Linked DNA regions of Danio rerio. The main gene of each other region encodes a partner of the protein of the gene in region 5 in a complex. Links are inferred from orthologs where the notes say so. Each region holds a gene or a part of one and is shown on either strand. Other genes may lie near its edges.

The links.
Region 1: ccnc (region 5) and med31 share a complex: the UniProt entries of both Homo sapiens proteins name them as parts of the mediator complex. The link is inferred for Danio rerio from reciprocal best matches to the Homo sapiens genes CCNC and MED31.
Region 2: ccnc (region 5) and med16 share a complex: the UniProt entries of both Homo sapiens proteins name them as parts of the mediator complex. The link is inferred for Danio rerio from reciprocal best matches to the Homo sapiens genes CCNC and MED16.
Region 3: ccnc (region 5) and med21 share a complex: the UniProt entries of both Homo sapiens proteins name them as parts of the mediator complex. The link is inferred for Danio rerio from reciprocal best matches to the Homo sapiens genes CCNC and MED21.
Region 4: ccnc (region 5) and med25 share a complex: the UniProt entries of both Homo sapiens proteins name them as parts of the mediator complex. The link is inferred for Danio rerio from reciprocal best matches to the Homo sapiens genes CCNC and MED25.
Region 6: the proteins of ccnc (region 5) and cdk8 are in contact, whole or in part, in a crystal structure (PDB 5CEI), measured with the Homo sapiens proteins. The link is inferred for Danio rerio from reciprocal best matches to the Homo sapiens genes CCNC and CDK8. Residues at the interface, in NP_005181.2 of Homo sapiens: Met1, Ala2, Gly3, Asn4, Ser8, Ser9, His10, Gln13, Phe72, Tyr76, Lys79, Ser80, Ile81, Asp82, Leu85, Leu93, Lys96, Val97, Glu98, Glu99, Phe100, Gly101, Val102, Tyr130, His134, Leu136, Glu137, Glu139, Phe140, Tyr141; in NP_001251.1 of Homo sapiens: Met1, Asp2, Tyr3, Asp4, Phe5, Lys6, Leu9, Arg13, Gly58, Ile59, Ser60, Met61, Cys64, Arg65, Ile67, Ala68, Leu69, Arg71, Glu72, Leu73, Val84, Leu86, Ser87, His88, Arg91, Lys92, Val93, Asn145, Trp146, Val147.
Region 7: ccnc (region 5) and med19a share a complex: the UniProt entries of both Homo sapiens proteins name them as parts of the mediator complex. The link is inferred for Danio rerio from reciprocal best matches to the Homo sapiens genes CCNC and MED19.

Annotation. Positions count from the first base shown.
Region 1 is NC_133196.1:43,308,451-43,312,389, forward strand, and holds the start of med31 (mediator of RNA polymerase II transcription subunit 31), read right to left. Parts: upstream 2,801-3,939; 5' UTR 2,661-2,800; coding exon 2,639-2,660; intron 2,143-2,638; coding exon 2,068-2,142; intron 1,883-2,067; coding exon 1,786-1,882; intron 1-1,785. UniProt on the Homo sapiens protein: Component of the Mediator complex, a coactivator involved in the regulated transcription of nearly all RNA polymerase II-dependent genes.
Region 2 is NC_133186.1:14,629,193-14,632,692, reverse strand, and holds part of med16 (mediator of RNA polymerase II transcription subunit 16), read right to left. Parts: intron 3,194-3,500; coding exon 3,060-3,193; exon of another isoform or gene 2,897-3,059; intron 1-2,896. UniProt on the Homo sapiens protein: Component of the Mediator complex, a coactivator involved in the regulated transcription of nearly all RNA polymerase II-dependent genes.
Region 3 is NC_133179.1:2,082,969-2,086,893, reverse strand, and holds med21 (mediator of RNA polymerase II transcription subunit 21), read right to left. Parts: upstream 2,570-3,925; 5' UTR 2,525-2,569; coding exon 2,483-2,524; intron 1,870-2,482; coding exon 1,755-1,869; intron 1,669-1,754; coding exon 1,568-1,668; intron 996-1,567; coding exon 816-995; 3' UTR 501-815; downstream 1-500. UniProt on the Homo sapiens protein: Component of the Mediator complex, a coactivator involved in the regulated transcription of nearly all RNA polymerase II-dependent genes.
Region 4 is NC_133178.1:29,240,529-29,244,509, forward strand, and holds the end of med25 (mediator of RNA polymerase II transcription subunit 25), read right to left. Parts: intron 1,270-3,981; coding exon 1,161-1,269; intron 1,002-1,160; coding exon 895-1,001; 3' UTR 501-894; downstream 1-500. UniProt on the Homo sapiens protein: Component of the Mediator complex, a coactivator involved in the regulated transcription of nearly all RNA polymerase II-dependent genes.
Region 5 is NC_133179.1:6,192,111-6,195,610, reverse strand, and holds part of ccnc (cyclin-C), read left to right. Parts: intron 1-1,054; coding exon 1,055-1,110; intron 1,111-1,603; coding exon 1,604-1,639; intron 1,640-1,723; coding exon 1,724-1,815; intron 1,816-3,500. UniProt on the Homo sapiens protein: Component of the Mediator complex, a coactivator involved in regulated gene transcription of nearly all RNA polymerase II-dependent genes.
Region 6 is NC_133199.1:25,411,879-25,415,378, reverse strand, and holds part of cdk8 (cyclin-dependent kinase 8), read right to left. Parts: intron 3,494-3,500; coding exon 3,350-3,493; intron 1,671-3,349; coding exon 1,601-1,670; intron 1,524-1,600; coding exon 1,451-1,523; intron 1,372-1,450; coding exon 1,274-1,371; intron 460-1,273; coding exon 381-459; coding exon of another isoform or gene 372-380; intron 1-371.
Region 7 is NC_133189.1:26,390,927-26,394,893, forward strand, and holds the end of med19a (mediator of RNA polymerase II transcription subunit 19-A), read right to left. Parts: intron 3,426-3,967; coding exon 3,329-3,425; intron 3,249-3,328; coding exon 3,160-3,248; intron 760-3,159; coding exon 694-759; 3' UTR 501-693; downstream 1-500. UniProt on the Homo sapiens protein: Component of the Mediator complex, a coactivator involved in the regulated transcription of nearly all RNA polymerase II-dependent genes.

The DNA.
Region 1 (3,939 bases), on a different chromosome or scaffold from region 5:
GTTGTAGTGATGTTCTCTTTTCCCTGAAATCATATGAAATATTTCATTGATTTGATATTTTTAATAAAATATTGCATTGAATTATTTAGAATGCTTAAATCTTTTCTGTTCAGTATCACACAGCACTAATGGTAAGCGACCTACAATTTGGCACCATATTGTCTGTTTTTGCTTTATATTGACAAATAAAATAATATAACTTTATAGTTTAGGTTATGTAAACTGCAGATTTATGGAACAAAATCAAAGTATTGTTAAAAAAAACAAAAACAAAAAAAAAACGTATTGAATAGCACAAACTGAAACAAATAATATATTAAATTAACAACTGCTTGCATTTTAATGACTTGGATTGCCAGAGTTTGTAATTTTAGGTCTTGAAATTTAACACAGCTGTTTATTTAAGCTGTAAATATTTCAATTAAAAATTTTTCAAACACGTTTTTATACTTGAAAATTCTTATACTTATTTTATACTTAAAAATAATAATTCTTAATTTCCGGATTTCATGTATAATATTCAAAAGACAATTTTCAACTCACTTTATTTCAGTTCAAAAGTTCTCTTCCATTAATTTAGTGGATCAAATTCGGCTGTTAAAATTTAACAAGGACAATATTAAATGCTACTTTTGTGCTGTTATTAGCTTTTTCCCTTAAAAAGGGAGTTTTTAAACCTTTATTTAATGGTTTAAAAATCTTAAATTGGTCCACCTGCTAGTGAAAAAGCAGCTGGAGATTGCCAATCTGCAATCTATTGCTGTTCCTGCAGTTCCCGGAAGTAATGTCGAATTTTAAGAGCCAAATTTAAACCACTGAATTTTTGGAAGCAAAATTTTAAACTGAAAAGTAAACAAACTGAAAGTTAAATTTTGAACATTATGCTTCATATTTTTCACCAGTATTATATATTTAAAAATTGAACTTTTAATATATATATGAAATCTGGAAATTGAATATGAATTGTTGAAATTTTAAGTATAAAAACATGTTTAAAATATTTTTAGTTGAAATATTCACAGCTTAAATAAACAGCCGTGTTAAAATTCAGGCCCTAAAAATACAAACTCTTGCAATTCAAGTCATTAAAATGCAAGCAGTTGCTTATTCAATGCATTATTTTTTTTCAGTTAATGCTAATCAACAAACTTTTTATTTCAATACTTTTGCCATTAATTTTGTTCCATACAGATTAGGCACACATACTAAACTTGTAATTCAATTTACATTTTTAAATACAACTATATACAGCTAAATTATTAGACCACCTGTAAAATTCTTAATTCCTTTTCAAATATTTTCCCAAGTCATGTTTAGCAAAACAAATATTTATATTTCTATTCTAAACTATTACGTTTTAACTTATATAGAATGTCTCATTTCTTTATTCTGGTGGCATTAAAAGAATAAATTTCTTAAAACGTTACGGTCGATATTTTTCACCCCCTTAAGAACTTCTTATATTCGACTGTCTACAAAACAAACAACTGCTGTCAAATGACCAGCCTAATTGAGCTAGTCAATTTTTTAAACAGGACTTTAAGCTGAATAATAGTATTTTACAAAATAACTAGTAAACTAATAAATAATTAATAATACTAACTAATAAATAACTAATAATAAATAACTAATAAATATTATGCACTAGAACTACACGATATTGAACAAATTTTATATCCTTCTTTCTTTCTTTCTTTCATGCTTTTATTAGAAGCACTCATCATCCAAAGAAGAAATGTTTGACAAATTAACAATCTATTTCAACAAGAACAACATGTTACTTACTTTAGAAATTTAGCATATTCTGGTTCCTTCCAATAAAGCAGATACTTTAAATAATTGACGAAAGGCTTCTCTCTCAGGTAACCTCTCTGAGCCAGAACTGCAGGATGGGGGGAAAAAATTAAGATTAATAATCATTATCCATCTTCATATTTCGACCACAGTAACAAAATTACCTTGAATTTACAGAATGTAACAACCAATGAGTGAATTTGACCAATGACTAAAGTAATGACTGAATTTAGCGAACAGTAAAAAAGAAACAAGAGTTAACGTTGTTCTTACAGTTCAGGTAGTTTGGGTTTGCCAGACATTGAACAAACTCCAGCTCCAGCTGAAAGCGCTGTCTCGCCTGCTCGTCTGTCAAAGCACAAATAGAAGCGTAAGCAATGTTTGTGTTTGAAAAGAAATAATACAAATAATCATTAGTAAATGTATTCATGAACTACCAACGAACAATACTTGTATTAGTGCATAATTAAAATGCAAGTTCATGCTTGACATTAGTTGATGCACCGTAAGTTGAGATTACTTTATTTCATTAATACTTTTAACAAAGACGAACAAACACTGTAATAAATATAACGATTCTTGTTTGTTCATGTTAGCAAACATTGGCTAACGACGATACTACCTTAATGTTAAGTGTTACAGAAATTGCTTGAACAACATATATCTGCGCCAGTACAGAAAATAACACATAGTGTAGTACCTCTAAAACGTTGTATAACTTAATATGATCAAAACGAAACTAAAATACGTTACCAAACAATTGTATTTACGTTAACTGTCACATTGCTAGGAATCTCGTGGGCAAAGATGTGCTAAATAACAATTCAATCTAATTTTAACAAACCTGTTTCCATAACACCAGCCATTACGGACAACGAGAATTCAGACGACGCTGAAATATCTGGAAAATGATTAGTATAAAAAGATTTTTTAGAGCGCGATTACCAAAAACAACACATTACTCATTGTTTATGCGGACATAGACCGCTGACGCCATTTTTGCCATAAAACCAGTGCTGCTGTCGTAAAAGTGTTTCACGACATTTGCACCTTTTTTTTAAATAATAAAGAATGAAAACTTACAACCACAATCAGGAGATCAATATAAGAGAGATACAAAATAGGAACAATACAAACTACATTTGTAAGGGGTAAGTAAATTACACTTGTATAAAATTGTATAAAAATAAATTAATTAAGAGCTATTTAACTCAAATCAGAGTCAACAGTTCTTCATGTAGAGCCAAGTATCTGACACATTTTTTGTTGTTGTTACACGTACGCAAAGATTTGAGCAGGAGTCAACTTTAATGAGAAAATGTCGAAAAGTAGGGACTGAAACAATGCATATTTGTATAAAATATTTCCAAACAAGATAAAAAGTTGAAAACAAATTCTTCAGATTTATTCTGAGTAATAACAAACACTTTATTTTAAACTAAAATATTGTGCAAAGGTAGGAGGAGTGTTTAATAACGATAAAGGTCAAACCAAAATTTCTGAACAAATTCACACATACAAAATAATTGTATTAAAGTTTCATCATCCTCACCACAAAATGTACAACTACTCGGAATATCAAAATGTTTAGAAACAAATAAGTAAGCCGAATAAAGTTCAGGCAATATTTTAAAAAAGTATTTATGAGGCATTTGCACCTTTTTTTTTCGTAGTAATATTTGTAGCCTACAAAATACATTTTGTGACTTGGAATATAAGAAAAAAAAATCTATTTTCCATGATAATTTGGTTAAAAAGGTGTTCTATTGGTCTCACAGCTTAAAAGATGAAGGATATTTACTGACTTATAGGCTACTGAATTTTTTTGAGAAGTTTAGTTCCTGTGCCTCCACAAGGCCTGGCGGGGCTTTTGCAGAGTTACAGTGAACCAAATAAACTAACAGTTAAAAATGAGATTTAATTACATGGTGTTGATTTCAAAGATAGAAAATGTAATAATAAATTTTGTAGACGCTTGATTTATTATCTTGCCACTTTTAGACACAAATACTTTTGGAATAATCTGAGAATATCTATTGGAACTTGATCTGGACTTATAACAACAAGTATTGTGTCACTAATAAAGTGAAATTATACATAAAATATATCCAACCAACCAATTTCTCAAAAGATGATCAAAAGTTG
Region 2 (3,500 bases), on a different chromosome or scaffold from region 5:
CTTGTACTTGAGTACAAATTAAGCTGAGTAATCTACTTCGTTACTTTTATAATCACAATTCGTTACAGAGTACTGTCAATAAATTAATATTTCAGCCACGCACTGACCAGCATTTCGGTAGCCAATAAAAAAAGCTGATCTTAACGGACCAATGAAAAGCCTGGTACATTATTTGAACCGAAAAACAAGTTCAGGCTACTGCAGATTTACGTGACCGTCATCATACAATCACAAAGTTATCAATTGACATATGGAGATGTAAGACAGAAGAAATGAGGAAGAAATAGCAGAGGATGAATGCATGGCCACACCCGGAGGAGCTGTTCACCTACGGAGTGCAGAAACTCTTGACAATTCTGGAGGTCATTATTAATATAATATAATACTGAAATGGTTGAGGCGGTTTAGAATGACCAAAACAACACTTTAGATGTTTTACAATGTGCTTAGCCTGCTGGTTTGTCCATTCACACACATTTTCAAAATATATGCGCATTATAGCGTTTCCATCTACCGTTTTATGTGCATATCCAAAAAGCGCAAAAATAAGTGGATGAAACCTGCCCTCGGCTGTGCCATCCGGCTTACACAGGGTTTCTGTGGGGTCTTAAAATGTCTAAAATATAAACATCTAAATTTTAGCCCTTAAAAAGTCTTAAATTCGCTGTTCTAGATCTGAAATATGTTTGCACATGTCTTATTTTTCCGATGTACATGTAACGCTACTTCTAATGCTCATTTAATATAATTTTTTGTTGTTGCTTGGTTTCGTGGTGGTGTAGTTCTTTATTTCACTAGTCCTATTGTAATTTGCAGTATTAAAACTACAAATAAGCCCAGCATGCAATAGCTCAGTGCGCGCGGCGAATGTGACGTCATCGCCGTGTTTGCGGAGGTTCACTTTGGATGCGCGCGACATGATTTCGGGTGAACAGTTCGCGCGGCGCCGTGCTAGATTTGAGTTGAATTTGAATCACTTTGAAGAGATTTTGTTTGTAACAGTACGACTGTACAGACATCTTAACTATCCGACCATGCGTGGACAAAGAGATAACCAGATGACCGATAATTCTTGGCTAGAAATTGCAACAGCCATGGAAAGGAAGTGTTTTGTTAAAGTTTGGAAAAACCTGGGGGATAAGTTTGTTACAACAAAAAAGAGGCCATGGCAAAAGTGGAGACCCAGGTGGTTTTAAGATTACAGAATATGTTTTTCCACCATTTATAGGTTTTACACTGATGGATCATTTTGAAGTTAAAGCAATGTAACAAAAATTAAGGAACAAATTAAGTATTTGATAACTGGAAAATAATATATGAACCCATCAGCTTACAGTATACTGAAGCCCAATTTCTAGGCTTTATTGGTGATGATGGACAGGATTGTTGGACCATTATTGCCTTTTCAGCTCATTAGTAGAGGACAGAAACTAGCCAGACAATAATGTGTCAATTGTTGAGTGGGCAAAAAAAAAATTTTTTTTTGCTATTATTCTTGCCAGAATAAAAAAATAATAATTGTAGAGTAACCCATGTTCTGTTGTCATTGATATTTAACTTTAACAGGTAGAACTGTCCGTGATATAAACAAAAGTGAGTGATGCATCAAACTTTGATTTAAAAAATCTTGAAAAGATTTCATTCATTACAATCATTCATTAATTTTCTTTTTGGCTTAGTTCCTTTATTAATCTGGGGTCGCCACAGCGGAATGAACCGCCAATTTATCCCGCATATGTTTTACACAGCGGATGCCCTTCCAGCTGCAACCCGTTCTCATTTACAACAACAGACAATTTAGCTTACCTAATTCACCTAAAATGCATGTGTTTGGACTGTGGGGAAAACCGGAGCATCTTGAGCAAACCCATGCAAACACGGGGAGAACATGCAAACTCCACACAGAAATGCCAAATGACCCTGCCAAGGCTTGAACCAGCGACCTTTTTGCCTTGAGTCGAGAGCGCTACCCACTGCCCCACCCCGTCACCCAACTTTGTAATCATAATAAATTATAAAAATAATGAAAAATAATTATTTTTAAAATCTTGAACAATATTAAAGATATGACGTAGTCTTAAAAAGTCTTACATTTGACATTACGATATCTGCAGAAACCCTTTTTTTTTTTACAAGACTTCAGTCTATAATCTGAAAAAAAACATTATGGTAAGAAGACATAACTTAATTTGTGTGATATTTAATTTATTAATAATATGTTTAGGCACTAGGCAGTGTTGTTTTGTGGTTTCTGACGGTTCAGTTGGCGAATTAGGTAATTAACAAAGTTTCTCCATAATTTGCAAGTGTTTATTTTTTATATATTAAATCATCTATTGATCGTACAGATAAAAGAGGCATCATTTGAAATGATAAGAAGTCGTGCATTTGTGCATATTTCTGTTATCTTTATACTCAAAATAGCAAAACATTGTTTTTGTAAAATAATCATGGTGCGCAGTGGGTATCGCTATCGCCTCAAAGCAAACAGTTTGTTGGTTGAAGCCCTGTCTGAGTCAGTTGGTGTTTCTGTGTGGAGTTTGCATGTTCTCCCCATGTTGGCATGGGTTTCCTCTATAGGTGCTATATAATTATAATCTATAATTAATGCTGTTTACACAGTTTAAAAAGTGTTTATAGTATCTTTAGATGTGTTATGTAAAATGTGTTTTACTGCCTAAATCTTGTCTGACTCCGGATTTATGGATAATTCCACCAATACCGCCAAGCTAAAAAAGTAATTTGTAATTTTGTAATTTGAGTAGTTTTTACGAAGAGTAATTTGTACTTTTACTTGAGTACTTTTTAACACCAGTACTTTTACTTGTAATTGAGTACAATTTCAGCAATGTAACAGTACTTGTAATTGAGTACAATTTTTTTGTACTCTTACCACCACTGTTTAAAAGACACGAGAAGCAAGTGTAATGGTCAAATATGTCTGTCTAGCATGTCTTAACATTAAAAAAGCAATACAAAAGTAGAGGGTTGGAGAAGAAAAATGCATTCTGTGTAAAAGGCCTCAGATCATCAGTAAAGATCATCACAGCTGAGCTCACCTGGTTGGGAAGGTTGGCCAGCAGGTACAGAACAAAGTCTCCGACCCACTGAATAAGCTGCTGAAGGGACTGGAGGGGTGGTCCATCCAGAACAAACTCCTCTGTCTTCAGGTTGATCATCACCTTATCAATGTCTGAACACATATTAACAGATTAAAAGATGTGCTTAGTGTCAAAACAACAATAAATGTGTGTGGATAGGAGAATGCAAAGATTCATTCTATGTAGGTCTGTCATAATTATTAATTTGGTGATAGGGCTGTGCGATTTGGGGAAAATACCATACTACACTTTTTTTTTTTAAAGATATTACAATTTTGATGATTCAATTTTGTAGTCAAACTTCAGCTCAATAATCTTTATAGTAGCTTCTAATTGCTAAAATGCATTTAGAGTTATTTAAAAAAAGGAACTTAAAAGATACTAACTTATATTAGCAAA
Region 3 (3,925 bases), about 4.1 Mb from region 5:
GCAAAGAAACAGCAACATGACAGCAACAGCAAGTTAGAAGGCTTAAAGAGAATGTCTGTTTCTAATGTATTGGAAGCAGATATTTACGTAGGAACAACACAACAACAAAATGAAGTGATGTTTAACACAATTTGCCGTCAGTTTAACAAGTCAACCACCTTTTATTAATAGATTTTGAACTGCAAAAAACCTGCACATTTTCCATACTGCTCTTTTTGTTTGCATAACACTTTGAATTTTGCTCATTATTTATTAAAGCATCTTTAAGTATTGAAATTCGAGATTCACAGACATTGTTTTTGACACATTATTTAAAATATGTGGCTAAAAATAGCTATCATCTTAGCTTTTTTTTCTCTTCTTTTTTTATTTTTGGTGGGGTCAGTAAAAAATTTGGCAGGGCAAGTAAAAATCTGAACCACTGGCCCGATCGGACCAGTAGAAAAAATCCATAGCGTTAAACCCTGAACAGGTCAAAGTTAAAAATAAAAACAAGCATGTCATACAATATATTTTTATTTGTTAAACATAACTTCTTTCAAAACAAGAGTATCAGCATAATGCTGGTGAGGGAAAAAAACAACATTTAATTTACAAAACATACCCAGAAGCTGACTATTAATGGTAGTAACACGCTGATGAACATTACACAAGGTAAAAAACAGAGGTCGCACAATAAAGACATGCGATGGGAAATCAGCTTTCTTTAGTCCAGAAACCGATGTGAAACAGTGAGTCTCCTGCAGTCGATGTAGGATGCGTATAAAATCCCTGCTGTGTCCCGACACTATAGTTCATGTTGTGGTTTTTTTCTGTCAGGATTCTGGAGGTGTTTGCTGACTCGGGGCTCCGCTGCGGGTGCGGAGCTGTGATTGGGCGATGTCTGCTAGTGCCGTCTGGATCTTCTCCAGCAGGGCGTCTCCTCTGTAAACCACTTCCTCCAGACGCGCTGCAGCTTCCTGGTTCTCCTCTTCCAGCTGTCGCAGACTGGCGGCCTAAGAAACGCATCAGAAATGACAACAAGTAGAGACGAGGTATAATGCTAATGTATTGTTGTTCACTCTGTACTTGGACAACATGGGTAGCACAGAGCCAGATGTGCAATATATGTGGCATGGGATGAGCAATTAACAGTAATCAAGTTTGTAATATGATTAATATCTAGCTAATTGGTCATTTGTGTATTATTGTCATGGTATATTTCAGTGTTTCTCAAATCCATTTCTGGGCTCCTACTGCTCTGTACATTCAGTGCAGCTTCTGGAGCTTTCTTCTAGCAAGATGATATTTATAATCAGGTCCATTATGTAGGCATAACTCAAAATGTGCAAAGCAGTGGCTCTCCAGAAATGGATATGAGATGCACAGGTTAAGCTGAGATTCATTTTTAATGCAACAATATAATTTACAGTTGATTTTCTTCTCTTTGAGTGCCAGAACTCAAAACCTGAAGTGCAGAACAACCATATTTTAAACAGCAGAAGGCTCAATAATTATATAATGATTCAATAATAATAATGTGGTGTTGGCCAGTGATACAGTGTGTGTGTGTATATAATAAATGTACCTGCAAGGCTGCAGTGGATTCTTCACTGGGCAGAGAGTCGATCAGCACATCAACATCTTTTGCTGTTCTTGCTATCAGCGCTGCAAACAGCTGAGCATATTCTAGAAAAAACACATCTTAGTATGTCAACTTCAAAACACATTATTTTCAAAGTGGATCACATTCAGATCAGTGCAGATGAGAGCACCTTCTGTGGGGTTTGAGGGCTGGTCTTTATTGATGGCCGTCTGGATGTTGCTGAAGGAGGCCGGTGGTGCGCACTGCTGCAGAACTCCAATCGCATTACAGAACTGATCCGCCAGCTGAAACACGACATGCAGTAAATCAGACATGCAGGACAATCCACTGTTACTTTCAGTTTACATGTTCTTTGACATGATGAGAAGTATTAGTACTCAGTGCTAAGATTGTGAATTATGTAATATATGAATAAACACAATTACATGTAATGTTTGATTAAACAACATTAATTTAAAACAATTTAAAAATAATTAATATTGCACTTTGAAGAACACAAAAAAAGAAATATTTAAGTGTACTTCACCAATATATAAGTAACAATAGCACTTACAGAAATGTATGTATATATTATATGTTATATTATAATTATATAACGGTGCCTTTTATATACACTTACTTAGATTATAATAGGACTATTATTTTCAGTTTCGTTTTATTTATAACAAGTAAAACATTTATTACAGTATCAAAACACATATGACAACAAACTTCACCTGTTCATTTGTTCACAAATTGCACGCTATGCTAACACTTCAGACGCTACAGTACATCAACATGACTTCTTAAGCAAATAATCCAATTTAATGAACCAGACTATTAAGTAAATCTGTTCGGAAGACATTTGCTGTGTTCTGCAGTTTCTGAAGTATAAAATAAACGTTAAATGAGTCTTACGGAGTTCACAGCATCCTGAAGCTGCGTTAGCCTGTCGGCCATGTTGGCTCCTCTTCACAGTTTCCGTTTCCGCCGAGCGCGTTCAATGCTACATCACGTGATACAGCGCAGCGTACAGCGAAAGCGCTCGTCTACTGAAAAGTTGTTGCATTTTCGCGCAAAGCAGGAGTGCTTGACACTTCCGGAGGCTGGATGTGAAGCTTCAACATGACTGCCGAATGTAAATGCTTCTGCTAAAGCGTGTTTATGGACTGGACTGATCCGGGAAAATGCCACTGAAGAGAGAATGTTTGGTTCTGCTCGTCTTGTCGTGGGTCGGTTCACTGCGCGCTCAGGATGAGAGTGAGTAACGTTAAACCCCTAATACCTTCTTTATTACGCTTGATAAAATATATAATCCCTATATAACGCACATATGTGGCAAATAACAGTTGTTTAAAGTGTGACTCAGCTCATTTAGCGACATATGAATCGAAATCAATCATGTCAACTATGTATTTCTAATCAATTAGTGATTGATATGATGTTGCAACTGATCTAAAGTTCACCGTTACGCTAAATAAACACAAACATCCCAAAATATCTTACTTATCACGCTTAATTAATTATATAATCCCTTTTAAACGCACACATGTGACAAATAATTCGTGTTTGTAGAGTGAATCAGCTGCCGACATATCAATCTGAAATAATAATCCTAAGAATGAAATGCTGATCAATTAGTGATCGATTCGTGTACTGATTTAAGGTCAATATATCAATCTGAAATAACCCTATTATTGTTACCACATAATAGCTAACATAGAGGTAACGTTGCTTTTATAGTCGCACATTCGTTTATTTAGCAGTCTCTGTATTGTTTACCATGTTAACGTTAACGTTACTTTGAATATTCGATAGACATTAGCAGGCAAGGATGACTTCAAAACAACATCGACAATGATTTCCCTATTTAGAATTTGTAAACATTACTTTTCTGAAATTACCTTATTGAGGAGAAAGTCTGAATATGTGAATATAAAACAGACTTTACCTCTATATAGCTAACTATTATTGTTCTAGTGTATTTGGGTTTTATGACTGCTTGTACTGTTTATAAACTGGACTACATTGATATTTATGAGGTGATGATTGCTGATAATGTAAATACACACACACACACACACACACACACACACACACACACACACACACACACACACACACACATACATACATACATGCATATATATGTGTGTGTGTGTATGTATATATGTGTTTGTGTGTGTGTGTGTGTATGTATATGTATATATATATATATATATATATGTATATATATATATATATATATATATATATATATATATTATAATTTAACACTTTAGTGAATCTTAGACAATGCATAAAATAATTAAATACATAAGTGACTGATTTATTTATTTGTTTAATTTTTCATACACAAGA
Region 4 (3,981 bases), on a different chromosome or scaffold from region 5:
ATGTTCAAGTTCATCAATCCAAGTCTATACACCTATACAACCACCAGTAGACCTACACAAAGGCCTACTATTATTATTGTTGTTGTTTAACCATATGATTGAGAATAACATTATAATAGCCTACACTTATTAACCTTTATTTTACATCTACAGAACCGTGAGAAAATCGTGATCTTGATTTTAAGCAAAAAAATAAATAAAAATTGTGATTCCTATTTTAGCCAGAATTGTGAAGCCCTAAACGCGAGTCACCGGCATTGATATTTTTAGGTTGAAAAGTTTGGCAACCCCTGATTGAAATCCCACTTGTTTCATTCCAAATGCTTTTGGCTACATAATACAAAAAAAATCAGTTATGAAAAATGTTGCTAACTACACAGATAAATGAGCAGTTTTGTGTCCCTGTGACTTCAATTATAGATGAACTATTCAAAACATCTTCCTTTGTATTCATGGGGAACACTTTGCCCATTTAGGAGACTTTTTAACACAAAAAAAGCTGCTTGAGAAAATTAACTTTATTTAATTTTCATAAAACAACATGCTAGATCTCAAAGACAAATAATAAAAAAAGTAAAACCGAAAGAAAGTAAAATGCTCATAAAAATACAGTAGTAACCGGATTTGATTCATTCATTTATGAATGGGAGGAGTAGTTGAGTCTTCAAAGTGGAACCTAATTTTTTGTAAATGTCTTTTCCTCCAGTTCCTCCATATGAACCGCTTACATGATACGGTGATAAGTTTGTGTGTAAAAGCATCAACGAATACTTGAGTATGAAAATAAAGTCCTTCTTCCCCTACACGCTTTCTTCTAACAAAAAGTAAAAAAGATGATGACTTTCATATTCCGTAATTAAACCTCTGAAGCAAAGAATGATGGGAAAACAGTCCTTAGATTAGATCCATAAGAATTTCATCCTCCATGACGCTCGACACCGAAGGCATCCCTGGATTCTGTGTGACTGGACCACGTGGACCCGTCGGGACCATTAGTGGACCTGTGGGAATGTGAAATATAAATCTACAAAGTTTGGGGGGGAAATGAAATGAAGCATAAACCACAGCAAATAAATTCAATCTCTTACACAATTAACAAGGTCACAGATGTGATAAAAATAAATGGTGCTAATGATACTGTAGTGGAAATTAAGCGTTACCCTGGTGAGGCTGTCTCCACTGAGGCTGCATCTGAGCGCCCCCTCCTGGTGCTGCATGGACCATCTGCTGGATAGGATGCATCCCCTGCATGCCTTGCATACCACCCTGCTGTACATAGAGAGGCTGGCATATAAAAGCAAGTCAAACTTCATAGATCAGACTTTACATGGCTGCATCTAAATATCGCTTACTTTCCCACTATATAGTATGTCAAAGCAGTATGTGATCAAAGAAATTATTATTTTTATTTCACTCTACTCATAAAAGAGTAGGTTAAAACTGCTAAAATGACTTACTAGTTCAGTCGAGTGAATTAGGACACATTTAATACAACATGAGGCCGCAGAAGAGAATTTGTGAAAGCAGAGAAGCAATGCAACTGATTCTGCTAAATCACATGATCACAATGAAGCAGTAATTCATACTGTATAGAAATTATTTCTTTAGCAGTTGCAAAGCAGTTTCTTTTTCAATACAAGTCAAAGACTTCCATATATATGCAAATCTGAGATAAAACCCGAGCTCATGCAAACTCTGTCAACTCCCTTATGAATCCCTTACCCAAAGAGCACCAACACATTATTTAAGCTACCCCTGAGCAGTTTTTGTTTGATTTGGGATATTCATATAGCATTATTTACAAATGTTGTAAAGTTATAAAAATGTCCAAGATGCAAAAAACAAAACAAAACTTGTTTTTAATTTATTTTTTAGTTTAACTTTTCTTTTACCTTTCTTTTTTAATTTTCTTAGATACTTAGATATTTTTTGTTTTGTTTCTAGTTCAAAAATCAACAATTCTTAAATCAAGAAACATTTTATTGACAAGCAAAACATATTGTCTTGTTTTAAAAAATAATATGTCAAAATATAGTTGAACTTTGGCCAGAGGTGAAACGGTAGTGGCCAACTGAGGTTTTTTTTCCCCTTCACTTTCGTCAATTGGTGAAGTCTGTTCCACACCACTGGCATGCTTGGTTTGGGACTTGTGGAGCTGTTCATGGATGGATTTGCACTTCAGTGTTTGGAAGTTCAGCAGTGAAAATTAAACTACACTGAACTGAACTAAGCTAAACTTTAACTCTGAAAACTTGACTGACACAGTTTCAGTTTATTAGAATTTCTATGTTAAGCTGCTTAGACACAATCTATATTGCTATACAGCGCTATAGAAATAAACAGGAATTGAATTGAAAATTAAGTGAGTATATCCTTAAAACAAGCTAAATATCTGCCAACGGGTTAAGAAAAACAATATTGCCAAAACTAAAAACAAGATTATTTAGCTTGTTTTAAGCAAAATTTCACAGTTTTAAAAAATGTTTCTTAATTAAAGGATTCTGAAATATTTAGACTAGAAACAAGACAAATATATATAAGAAATGCATTTTTTGAAGTGCAATGCAGCTTACAATTGCTAAAACTAATTCTATGTACAGATACTAGTGAAACAGCTAGTGGGCTATATGCACACAGACTTTTAGTTATTAGCCAGCCAGCCTGGTCTTTTCATTACAAAATCGTTACGTTTAAGATCTGATTTCTTTACAAATAAGTGATCTTCACTGCCTGCTTGATATACGACATAAAATGGGTCATGAAGACCAGACATGAAGCACATAAAATTCCATTTTTGCCTGCCATCTCTTTAAAATATGAAATTGTATTTTACATCAATTTTTCAATGTCTTTCATCTGGCTTCATGTTTGACCAACTAAATAAATGATTAAGATTATTTAACTGATTGTATTTTAATTATATTAAGATGTTGATGCTGTAAAAGGAACCTTATAAGCTTTAAAATAGTCACATTAACCCTTCACCGGAAGTTTAGCAGTGGCTGAAAACGCTAGCTGTGCATATAGCCCATTAGTTACATGTGTTTACTGCTTACCACATCAGATCAGATTGTATACATCTTTTCCCACAAGTCAACGCCATCATATTTTCTTTTGCAGTTTAGTGTTGTTGCTTTAAATCTCTGGTTACTGTTGTTATACTTCAAAATGTGGATTAAAACCCTGGTCTCAGCTGATGTGCATACAGTGCCACAAAGAAGGGGCTTGTGAGTACCCTTCTTAAGTGGCACGCAGCCATTTTAAGTCCGCAGGACCACATTGAATTGTGCCATTTGGAATTGAGCCATAATCTCCAAAGCAGCAAGTCTATTGCATCAGAGAGAGCTGAATTATAGCAGTCTTGTGCTACAGCGCCTCACTGGCCACACCATATAATTGCAGGCCTTTAGTTTAGATCAGATGATCTCAAGATACTATTCAACAAAGCTATTCAAATTCAAACTATTCAACAAGCCGACAATTTATTTAATGTTAATGTAAAAAGAAATAGATCACCCAAAATGAACATTTACTCACTATTTACTTACCATCAAGTGATTCTATGAAAAAAAATAAAAAAATAAACAACATATTTTGATTAAAGCTGAAACCACTGACTTTCATGGTTACAGGTTTTTCAGCATCGCTTTGAAAAGTAGATGTTTGGACTAGAAACTAAAATGTAAGTAAAAAAAAACATTTTTTGCATGAATTATAAATAAATAAATACATATAATCTTTGTTACACCTCCAAACATCATAACATTTGTTCCCCAATGTTTAAACTCTATTGTAATGTACTTTTACAGGCTTTAAAAACACATGCAAATGATAAACTTTCACTGTATTATGGTTAAACTTAGCAGTGACTCAACAAACCGCATGTGTTCTGTGGCTCCTGGTCAACAATAATTTAGACTTAACATTGCATATATCATGCGATGTGACTGTTGCTTATGCGCACAATGCTGAAACGATATA
Region 5 (3,500 bases):
TACTTGTATATTTTATAATAAGTTATTTTTTTGTATATAAAGAGAGAAAAGTCCCATCTGAGATTTTCATCTAAAATTAGCATTTTTCCTCAGGCTTTTGTGTGTCACTTCAGTAATTTTACTCTTATGGCAAATAATAGGTTATTTGCATTGCCTTTAAAGTGGAGTAACTGATCATAAATATTGGAGGCTGAGAAAAACACAACTTTTAGAGGAAAATTTCAGACGTCACTGAAGTTTTTTCATCTGAACTCTTTATACAGTTGAAGTCAGAATTATTAGCCCCCCCCCCCCCCCCCCCCCCTGTTTAGTTTTTCCCCCATTTTCTGATTAACAATTTTTTTCAACACGTTTCTAATCATAAAAGTTTTAATAACTAATTTCTAAGACACTTCTGTACAGCTTTAAGTGACATTTAAAGGCTTAACTAGGTTTACTAGGCAGGTTAGAGTAATTAGGCAAGTTATTGTATGACGATGGTTTGTTCTGTTGACAATCGAAAAAATATAGCTTAAAGGGGCTAATAATTTAGTCCTTAAAATGGTGTTTAAAAAAATCAAAAACTGCTTTTATTCTCCCCAAAATAAAACAAATAAGACTTTCTCCAGAAGAGAAAATATTATCAAACATGCTGTAAAAATTTTCTTGCTCTGTTAAACATCGTTTGGGACATATTTAAAAAAATAATAATAATCAAAGGAGGGCTAATAATTCAGACTTCAACTGTATATACATATACAAACACTTTTTATATATACATTATATGAAGTTGCACAATATATTCAAATAAGAAAATCTATATTATATTGTAATTTATTTGATCTAATAGCCAAGGAATTGTTGCTATTACTAAATTTAATTTAGTTTAATTTGATATATAAAAACAACTAACAAAACACTATATAGACGTGTTTAAAAATGTAATCATGAAAAAACTAAAATGAAAACAAAATATAAGCATATCCCGATTATACTAAAAAAACAGTTTAATGTCTTCCTCAATAGTCACTTTTGTAATATATATGTATTTCTCAGACTTTTCTTTTTTTAATAGTGAAAACAAGGTTCTCTTATGCCTTCCCAAAGGAGTTTCCCTTCAGAATGAACCACGTGAGTCAAACGTCTTTGTTTCACTACATCAGAAAACATGATGAGACCGTCATGTGAGAGTCTTTCCCGAGAGCATGACTTCACTAGGAGATTTTGGAAATCTGACAGCATCACTATACATCCAGATAATAATTTCTTGTAACTTGTCTGATTCATATGATGGAAACACTAGTCGAGAGTTTGAGTGTGTGTGTGCTGATGATGCAGTGTTTCTGACACCCGTTCAGGAGTGAAATTCCTCACACTCGCAACACCTTCGTAGGAAAGTCTCATTATCCTGATAGATGACTTCTGGTTTTGGCCGTTCATGTCTCGGGCTGGTGATAAGTGCCATATGATTACTAGCAGTGTTGTTTATTCAGCACAGCACTAGTCAGGTGGTGTAAAGGAAACATTGCGGTCTCCATTTAGTAAAGGGGGGAAAATGCCAATTAGTGCGCATAACATGCTAACGCCATGATTTCACAGTGAACTTATGCCTTTATCTCGCTAGATCCTGGAGTGTGAATTCTACTTGCTGGAGCTCATGGTTGGTATTGATGGATTCTTGAGGTTGTCTTGAAGTTGTGTTTTCAGCGTTTGTTGATGGATGTTTGGTTTGGTTTTGTTTCAGGACTGCTGTCTGATCGTGTATCATCCGTACAGGCCGCTATTGCAGTATGTGCAGGACATGGGGCAGGAGGACATGCTGCTGCCGCTGGCTTGGTGAGGAGTGTGTGTGGATTCAGTAGAAACCTCTACTTCTTTTATATGCTGGTTAAAGGGATTGTTCGCCCAATCGTCTATCTCTTTGTTGTTTTTTTAATGCCCTATACTGTTCATTCCTTTTTGCATGAGAACTTCTTGATGCTCATGCATGCCTGTGTAATGGTAGTTAAATCACAATCACACTTAAGGAGGTAGTTCACCCAAAACAGAACATTCTGCCAATCTTCACTCGTTGCAAACCTGTTTGAATTTCTTTTTTTCCTTTGAACACAAAAGAAGATGTTTTGAAAAATGTTGGAATGTGGTAACCATTGACTTTTTTCCTACTATGGAAGTCAGTGGTCAACTGTTTCAAACATTCAAAAAGTATGTTGTTTTGTGTTCAGCAGCCTTTATAAACACAAAGGTTTATAAAGGTTTGAGGGTGTGTAAATATAAGAATAATGTTAATATATGAATAAAAATGCAAACATATCAAAGAATAATTCCATGTAACAAATGCCATGTATTGCAATTATTCTGTAGACATATGATAAGGTTTGGTGAAAAACAAACCGAAATTATTGTTAGACAAATTTTCTGATGTTGAACATTTTTTTGAAGCTCTTATTATTGAGGCGTTTCAGTCTGACTATACCTTTTTATCAACATCTACATTTTAAATAAGTGGCAAGAGGAGTGGAATGCATTGGAAATTAATAAATTACATGAAATACAACCTGAAATGTCAAACAGAATTTTAAGACTATTTGATCGAGTGATTTTTACTAGATGTTGTGTTGGACATACAAGATTAACTCACGCCTTTTCACTTAAAGATGAAGACCCCACTCAATGTTTGTTCTGCACAACTCCCCACACATTTCACTGGACTGTCCTGCTTTTAATAATTCCAGAAGACTTTTTTAATGAAATGAACTCTCTTAAGGACATTTTTAGCAAAGTGAAACCAGAATTCTTATCATGTATTATTAACACAAAAATATCTTACTTAACTTGTGTTTTTATTTGTTTGTTGTTTTAAATTGTTTATTTATTATTGAAATGTTCTTGCCATGAAAATAGCCTTGGTTGCTGTTGCTATGGTTTATTTCCGTAAATAAAAAATACATCACATTACATTACAGTCTGACTATATACTGCATATAGAATATGTATATCTGACTATATATAGAATGATTATTCAGCACACTGCAAAAATATGCTTTTTTATTTAGTTTTTTGTGTTGTTTTTAGTCAAAATATCTTAATATTCTTATATCAAGACATTAGACAAGTAAAAATATTGTTTTGTTTTCAGAAAAAAGTTGTCAAAATTAAGTGAGTTTTTTCTTAAAACAAGCAAAATAATCTGCCAATGGGGTACATAAAACAATCTTATTGCAAACCAAAAAAAATTTTTTTTACTCACCCCTGATTATTAGGCAGATTATTTTGCTAGCATTAAGGAAAAACTCACTCAATTTTGACTTTTTTCTGACAACATTTTAAACGCCTAGAACAGGGGTTTCCAAAGTTGGACCTGGAGGGCTGGTGTCCTGCTGACTTAAGCTCCAACTTGCTTCAACATTCTTGCCTGGAAGTTTCTAGTATACCTAGTAAGAGCTTGATTAGCTTGTTCAGGTGTGTTTGATTAGGGTTGGAGCTAAACTCTCCAGGACACCGGCCCTCCAGGGCAGTGT
Region 6 (3,500 bases), on a different chromosome or scaffold from region 5:
AATCTGCTCATCAGCAGGACAATTTCAAATACAAAACAAACAAAAGAGGTTAGATTGAATAATTTCAAGCAAAGGTGATTCTGAATGTATGTAGCAACGACTGATATTTTCTATTGTGTAATACTGTATTAAAAAAAAAAAATAGCAATAAAGTAAAATACAAAACTCTCAAAATTAAAAAAGAAGCCCAGTAAGGACATTTTATAAGAAACTTTGGTCATAAATTTAGCTTCAGAAGTTAGAAAAAGCAGAACTTCCAGAGCGTTTAGATACAAGTACATCAGGGCCTTATAGAATAAAATAATACAAATATAAAGTATGTGTGTGAAACAAATGCCGAAAAAGAAGAGGAAAAAAGACAGAAAACACACATTTCTTACTTTATCTGCCTTGTCTTCTGGCTCCTCTTCCGTCAGGAATTCTCTTTTAGGATAAGGAATCTGGCAGCCAGCAAAGACACTAAACAAAAAACAGATTTGAATTGCTAACATCCTGCAATTTATATTCTAAAGCAACTAATTTAATCTAATGCAAAAAAAATCCCACTATTATTTTTATTAGTATTATCTCTTTTGTTTTCCATTCCTTTTTGTTTTGAATACAGCTGAACTTAAAGGTCCAGAGAAGTTCAAATCATGTTTTTTAGATGTCAGAATCAGTATGTTAGTCTTAAAGGATATGTATAAGCTATAGTGTGGTACAAAACAGTGACAAAATTTGAATTTAGAAGATACAAAATCTATATAAACATGTAGAGTTTATTTATGCCTAAATGGATCAACGTTTTTTTCCACATCACCTCATACTTCAGTTTCTCAAATCTTGATCAAATGCTTTCTACATACTTTTCATTTGATACACTTGAGCTCACTGGCAGAGCTGTGATACAAATAAAACGCAATTGGCTGTTTTTTAAAGGGAGAAGCTACTAAGTCCTGCCTGTCCTGTCTTCGTTGAGATTGTCAAACATCGAATAAAAAAACTCTGCACATTTTAAAAAGCTTCACAGGATCTTTAAAGGGTTTCTTTTTGAGTGAGAAAAATGTAAAAAATGTTTAAACATGGTCAATTTGACATTCTCAGAAATCAAGAACATTTGTATGTTCTTCTATACTCCCTAAACTCACTATACAGCGTTTAAAAGCAAAACATTTTTTGGTTTAATCGGTTATTTGTTTTCCAGAAAACAACGTATGTAAAGTCTACATGCATTTCACTTGCAGAAAAGCTGTTGATAATTGCTGGTCACAGCAGAAGTGTCAACATCACTCACTCAGATGTGGGTAAAGGCTCCTCCAGGAAGTACGGGTCCTGCATGGCCTGCTCAGATGTGATTCTGCGGATTGGGTCCATGGTAAGCAGCTTTTGCAGCTGAGAGGGTGTACAGAGGTTAATATCTGCATGAGAAAATATGAGGATAAAAGATTTGCTTTTCTTTTGATCTGCTTACCAAGTGGAATGCTTTGCTGTCAGGCTTGACTTTATGCTTCTCCATATACTTTATAAGGCTGCAGTTAGTGTACCTACAGCAGACAAACACTGTCATACCAAATTTGTCACTCAATGAGACAACTTAATAAAAAAAGAAGCTCAAACTAACGTATTCCTCCTAAAGTCTTTCATCAGTGTCGAGTGTTCCGGCATCTTCTTAATGTCCTCCCAGTCTTTGTCTGAGAAGAAAATTAGATAACAGATTTTAGCACATTTACCGACATCAGATGACTTGAACTGTAAATAAATGGTTTAATTTAATGCTCTAATCAGCAAAGAATATGCAGAACACTAGAGCTGCACGATATCAGAAAAAAATCAGACATTGTGATTTTTTGTATTTCTATGATCTACAGTTTTATGCAAACCTTTGGCCACCTCTGATCATTTTTATAATTGCAAGCCATAGCCTGCTGGCCTTTCAAATCAGCAATTTCATAAAGAAATATTTTATACCCTAAGAAAAAGCAACATTTTAGTTCTGACATAAGATTTATTTAAATCAACAGATGCAATGCAATTCAAGTCTTGTGCAAAAAAAGTGCAAAAATGTGGGCACCCCAACAGAATAATGACATCAATCTTTTGTACAGCCACCTTTTGCTAAAATAACAGCCAATAGACACTTCTTGTAGTCAAGGATCCCTGAAGTCTTGCTGAAGGCATTTTTGACTGCAAATGTCCAGTTCAGTTAGGTTTGATGGGTGCCGAGCGTGCCACGGCCCTTTTCAAATCAATCCATAGATTTTCTGTGATGTTCAAGTCTGAGGATTGGGATGGCCATTCTAGATCATTGTATCATGTCTGAGCATGAATTTCTTGGTAGATCTGAAACTGTTTTGGGTCATTTCTGAACATTGTTCTTCTCAATCTGCGTATACTGGGTGGAATCCATGTGACCTTAAACTGACAAGTTTTCCAGCACCTGTGCTTGCCACAAATCTGCCAAGCATGATGGACCGTCCACCATATTTTACAGTAGGCAGCAGGTTCTTCTCCTGGAATGCTGTGTTGTTTTTCCATCATGCAAAGCATCTATAGTTGTGGCATCTGTCTACAGTATATTTTTCCAAAATGATTCAGGCTTGTCCAGATCAGACTTTGCATACCTCAAACGCCTCTTCTGCATCTCCTATGCATTGAGCTTTTCAATGTGAAGAGAAAGCTGGACTGTGGAATGATGTACAATGATATTATCAGCAGCAAGATGTTCCTGGAGCTCTTTGGAGGTGGTCTGCTGTTTGTCTGTGACCATTCTAACCATAATTCACCTTTGCCTTTCAGATAATTTTCTTTATTTAGCACATCTGTCCTTCACCAGAACTGTTCCTGTGGCCTTCAAATTTCTTACGAATTAATAAAGGGACTAAGCCGAAATGAAAATAAATGAATGAATGAATTAGTACAATCTGGCAACAATCTTTCATTTATTTTACCCAGAATATTAAATTAAAAATTACATTTTAATTTAATTACATTCATCCAGTCATATTAAGTCATTAAAGAAATCTGTAGTGTAATAGGAATAGTTAAATTACATCCTAAATGTTCTTTTATTTAAATGCTCTATTTTCTTTTTGTAGTCCCACACACACAAATTTTTTTTATTAAATACATTTTATTTCTGATCCTGTATGATTTTAAGTTAACAATAATGACCCATTTGTCAATGCAATTCTGTTTATTTGTTTTCATCAATCCTAAAAAACAATCAGTATTGCATTCAGAACTGTTAGATTCTATTTGTTTTGACAAGATTATTTTTCTTCAGAAAGGCTGCCCCCTACTGGGATTTTTAACAATCCATTTATTTTTAAATGAATGACCTAGACCTGAATGAAAAGTAGATGCAGAATACCTGCAGGAAAGCCCATGACATTAAAGATGCGGTCGAGCTGATCGTGATGGTAGGGATTACTGGTCTTAATGTCCTCCTGTCGACAATGGAAGATGGGCTCTGAGGTCAAAAGCTCAGCAAAGATACAGCCAATTGCCCAGATATCTGTGAA
Region 7 (3,967 bases), on a different chromosome or scaffold from region 5:
ATGCACAACCATCTCTAGGGTTTACAGAGAAAATATTTAGTGAGTGGCAGTTTTGTGGTCTTGTTGATGCCAGAGGTCATAGGAGAATGGCCAGACTGGTTCTTCTAACTGATGGAAGAAAGGCAACAGTAACTCAAATAACCACTCATTACAACCGAGGTATGCAGAAGAGCATCTCTGAACGCACAACACATCCAACCTTGAGTCGAATGGGCTACAGCATCAGAAGACCACACCGGGTGCCACTCCTGTCAGCTAAGAAAAGGAAACTGAGGCTACAATTGGCACAGGCTCACCAAAATGGAAAATAGAAGACTGGAAAAAACTATGCCTGGTCTGATGAACCTCGATTTCTGCTGTGACATTCGAATGGTATGGTCAGAATGTGGCATCAACAACTTCAGGCTAGTGATGGTGTAATGGTGTGGGGGATATTTTCTTGGCACACTTTATGATCTGTTATTGTGAACAAAAAAGAAAGAGTGTGTTTAAAGACTGTATAAAGAATAACAAAGTTTATTCCTTGAGCTTTTCATCATAACCAGAAAAAGAAGTCAAAAATCATCAACAATTGGCCCTTGTAAACATCAATCAACCGCACTGGTCCATATCAGATTCTCTAACACAGTTCAACATCACTTCATGTGTGCAAACATACATACAAACAAGCACACTCGCACACACACAACTGTTCTATCTCAGGCTGTTGCTGTTGGGTTGAGATCCAGTAACACCAGGATGATCAGGACTGTGTCGATTCTAAAAGAAAAGAGGGAACAGACCAAGACCTTTTAAATGCATTAACAAGACTAAATGGGGTGTACTTTAAATGTGACAGGTCCCAGCAATAAACAAGTAATTATTCTACAACATAATTAAGGTATCAAGTAGATTCTAGGGACATATTCTACACTGTGCAGACCATCGATTTGATTTTGAATGCCACTAACATTGAGCATTTAATATTGTGTTATAGGGATGCGCAATATTGGAAAAAATATATCTCTGCAATATATTTTACAATATGAATAAAATTTCACCAGATGACTGTCTCTATTTGGAAATAATTTATAAAATTAGATTCTTATAATTACTATTTTTAACATTTTTGGGGTCCTCTGGCACATTTTCATTGTGGTCTGTGCTATTTGCAGTGCATTTCTGTATTTGCATGTGTTGCGAGTATTTTCATGCACAACAATCTATAAATACAATCAAGAAAAAGATACAAATAAAGTGTTTTAATACAAATAAAGTGTGAGTCTAACAGTATTCAAGTAAAACTTGAATGATAAAAATAAAAAATAATTAAAAATTAATTGTTGTTAAAGTCACAAATGGTACAATTTCATATAGCTGAATGTTTTTAAAATCATTTATACAATCAGCGGCATCAAAAACACATGCAAATGTGCGATGTGACTATAGCGAATGATCACATTGTGATATTGATGCTGAAACAATATGTTGTGCAGCCCTAATGTGTTATATTTTAATATTATTTATAAAATGTTATACTGCAAAATACTGTCTTGTTTCCTATTGTGAATAACTTATCAGTTACTTAAATCAAGACACATTTATTGAGAAGCAAGATGTCTAAAGTAAGTTTGAAAATTTATTTAGTTTTAGTAAAAGATAAAAACAATGATTTTATTCAAATAAATTTAAGAAAAAAAATTAAATCACACACACATGCATACGGTTTAAAGCATAAATGAGTTGCAACCCTTTTGGAAAATTCCTATTTTTTTTAATCAATTTCTCTGTGAATCGTCAATATATTTTGGTGTTGTATCAAACTGTTATATTTATTCAAATTAAATTAAATCGCCTAACGCATTCAGGAATAGAGAGACAGAAAATTTGTACAAAAAGTTTCTCATTAAAGGTGCAGTAGGTGATCTGCCAAAATGCTAACCGGTTAGCATAATATCTTAGAAAACAGTCCCACCCCTATTTTTCAAAGCCACGCCTCCTGAAATCACAAACACGCACTGCAAAGATGACAGTAGACAGCCCACTAACTCTTGTCATTCGCCAGTTGAAAAACTTTACAATACTTTATTACTGTAAAGTACAAAATACTGTATTATATCCAGCATGTTTTCAGTCGTGTAGCAAGCAAAACTTGTCATAATGTGCAATATTTCATCCATACAAGGATCGTTGGTCTCACTCTCTCCCACGTTTTGTCCTAAAGCCACTACTGTATGCTTAGTGGTTGGCTGGCGGGTGCAGGAATTACACTTTCGTGCATATAACACATCCGTGAAACAACAGAATCTACATCAGCTTTGTGTGACTTAATAGTTTTAAAACAGAACATGACCTGTCTAAAAGAAATACTTCAGCCATGGTCTCGTTCTTCCTCCAGCATAAAAACTAACTTCAATATTGATTCAGGATTATAAAGTTTTGTTTCAGCATTTGTTTTTACTGGTCGCGCTCTCTCTCATGTGCACGTGAACGCACGTGCACACACAAACGGCAGATTTGCACGAATAGCAGCGCAGATGTACAAGTCTACATTTGTTGACAGACAGTTTGGGCTACTTATCAGAATTATGGGAATTAACATTTTTTAGTCTTATGACTTACCCAGAATACAAAAATACATGTAAATACATTTAGATCATTTAATTTAATCATTACTATAGGAATGTGAAGAGACTTTCAACCTGCACATCAAAAAATGTTTCTGTAGACAATCACCTACTGCACCTTTAATTAATTTGGCTGGTCTCATTTTTAGACCGTGATGTTAAGTCTTTTTGTTAGATCAGTTCCAGTCTTAGCTTTAGTACTGACTAATCTAAAGTATATATGCACAACTATATTAGTGTAAAATATTCATGTAAAAGAGGGCGCATTCATTAAGCTTACACATCCTTTTAAATGTAAAATAAACACAGTTTACTGTTGAAATAATATTTGTGTGAAGCAAAAATGATAAATAATTATAAAGAGCATTGTTCAAGGCTGCTCAGATGTTACACCAAAGCAAAGCTGCTTCCTATGTGTATACATTTTTAAAATTTTAATAACGCATTATTATTTATACAGGAACATCCTGTAGCATTCAACCTTGTTCAACAATACACTTTTTAATTATTGTAAATTTGTAAGATTCTGCGCCGCATCAACAAAGTGGCTCACCTTTTTTTTCTTCTTGTCTTTCTTTTTCTTCCTGCGTTCAGGTTCATTATCTTTCTTTTTCTTCTTCTTGGTGGGGTCAGTGCGGGTTTCTGCACAGGGAAAGGAAGTTAACATGCATGTGGTGCACAGAGGAAATAAAATGTGAAAATCCATGAGCTTTTGAAGTGACCTAGCGGTAGAGGATCCTGAGGGTGATGATGTCTGTGTTTGTGTTTGCTCTTCTTCTTTGGTGGCTGTATGTGCATCAGTCTGTACTGCTCAGGAAGCTGCAACACAAACCAACACTATAAAGATGAAGCTCAAAGAACACATTTAGATTGCTTTAGAAAATATGCTGTCTACATCTTGTTTAAAAGGGGACCAATTGTGCAAAAATCCCTTTTAAAATGGCTGATTTATACTTCTGCGTGATCGCAGTGATCCACGGTGCCTGCCTTGCGGGTAGTCGTGCATTTATACTACTGTATACATGCTGTTTGTGTTGCTCTGCAATAACACTTCCGTACACTTGCTGGCAGTAGGTTATGTTCCTCTGTGTCGAGTATCTTCATGGGTATTTCGTTTTTTCTGAACGCTACAAGTAGCTAAAACTCACTCATTAAGTGGCTGTTTAACTGGGAGAAAAATAAAGTGTCCATTCTAGTAATCTAAACAATGTGAATTTGATATGAATTATGTATATCTATTAATGTTAAAAAATAATTATTGCCATTTCAGAAGACTTCAGGATTAAAAGACGGAGAGTGAAAATAAAAATCTGATGGAAAACACATATAAACTGAGATTTACAAGTGCCACTGGCCTCTTT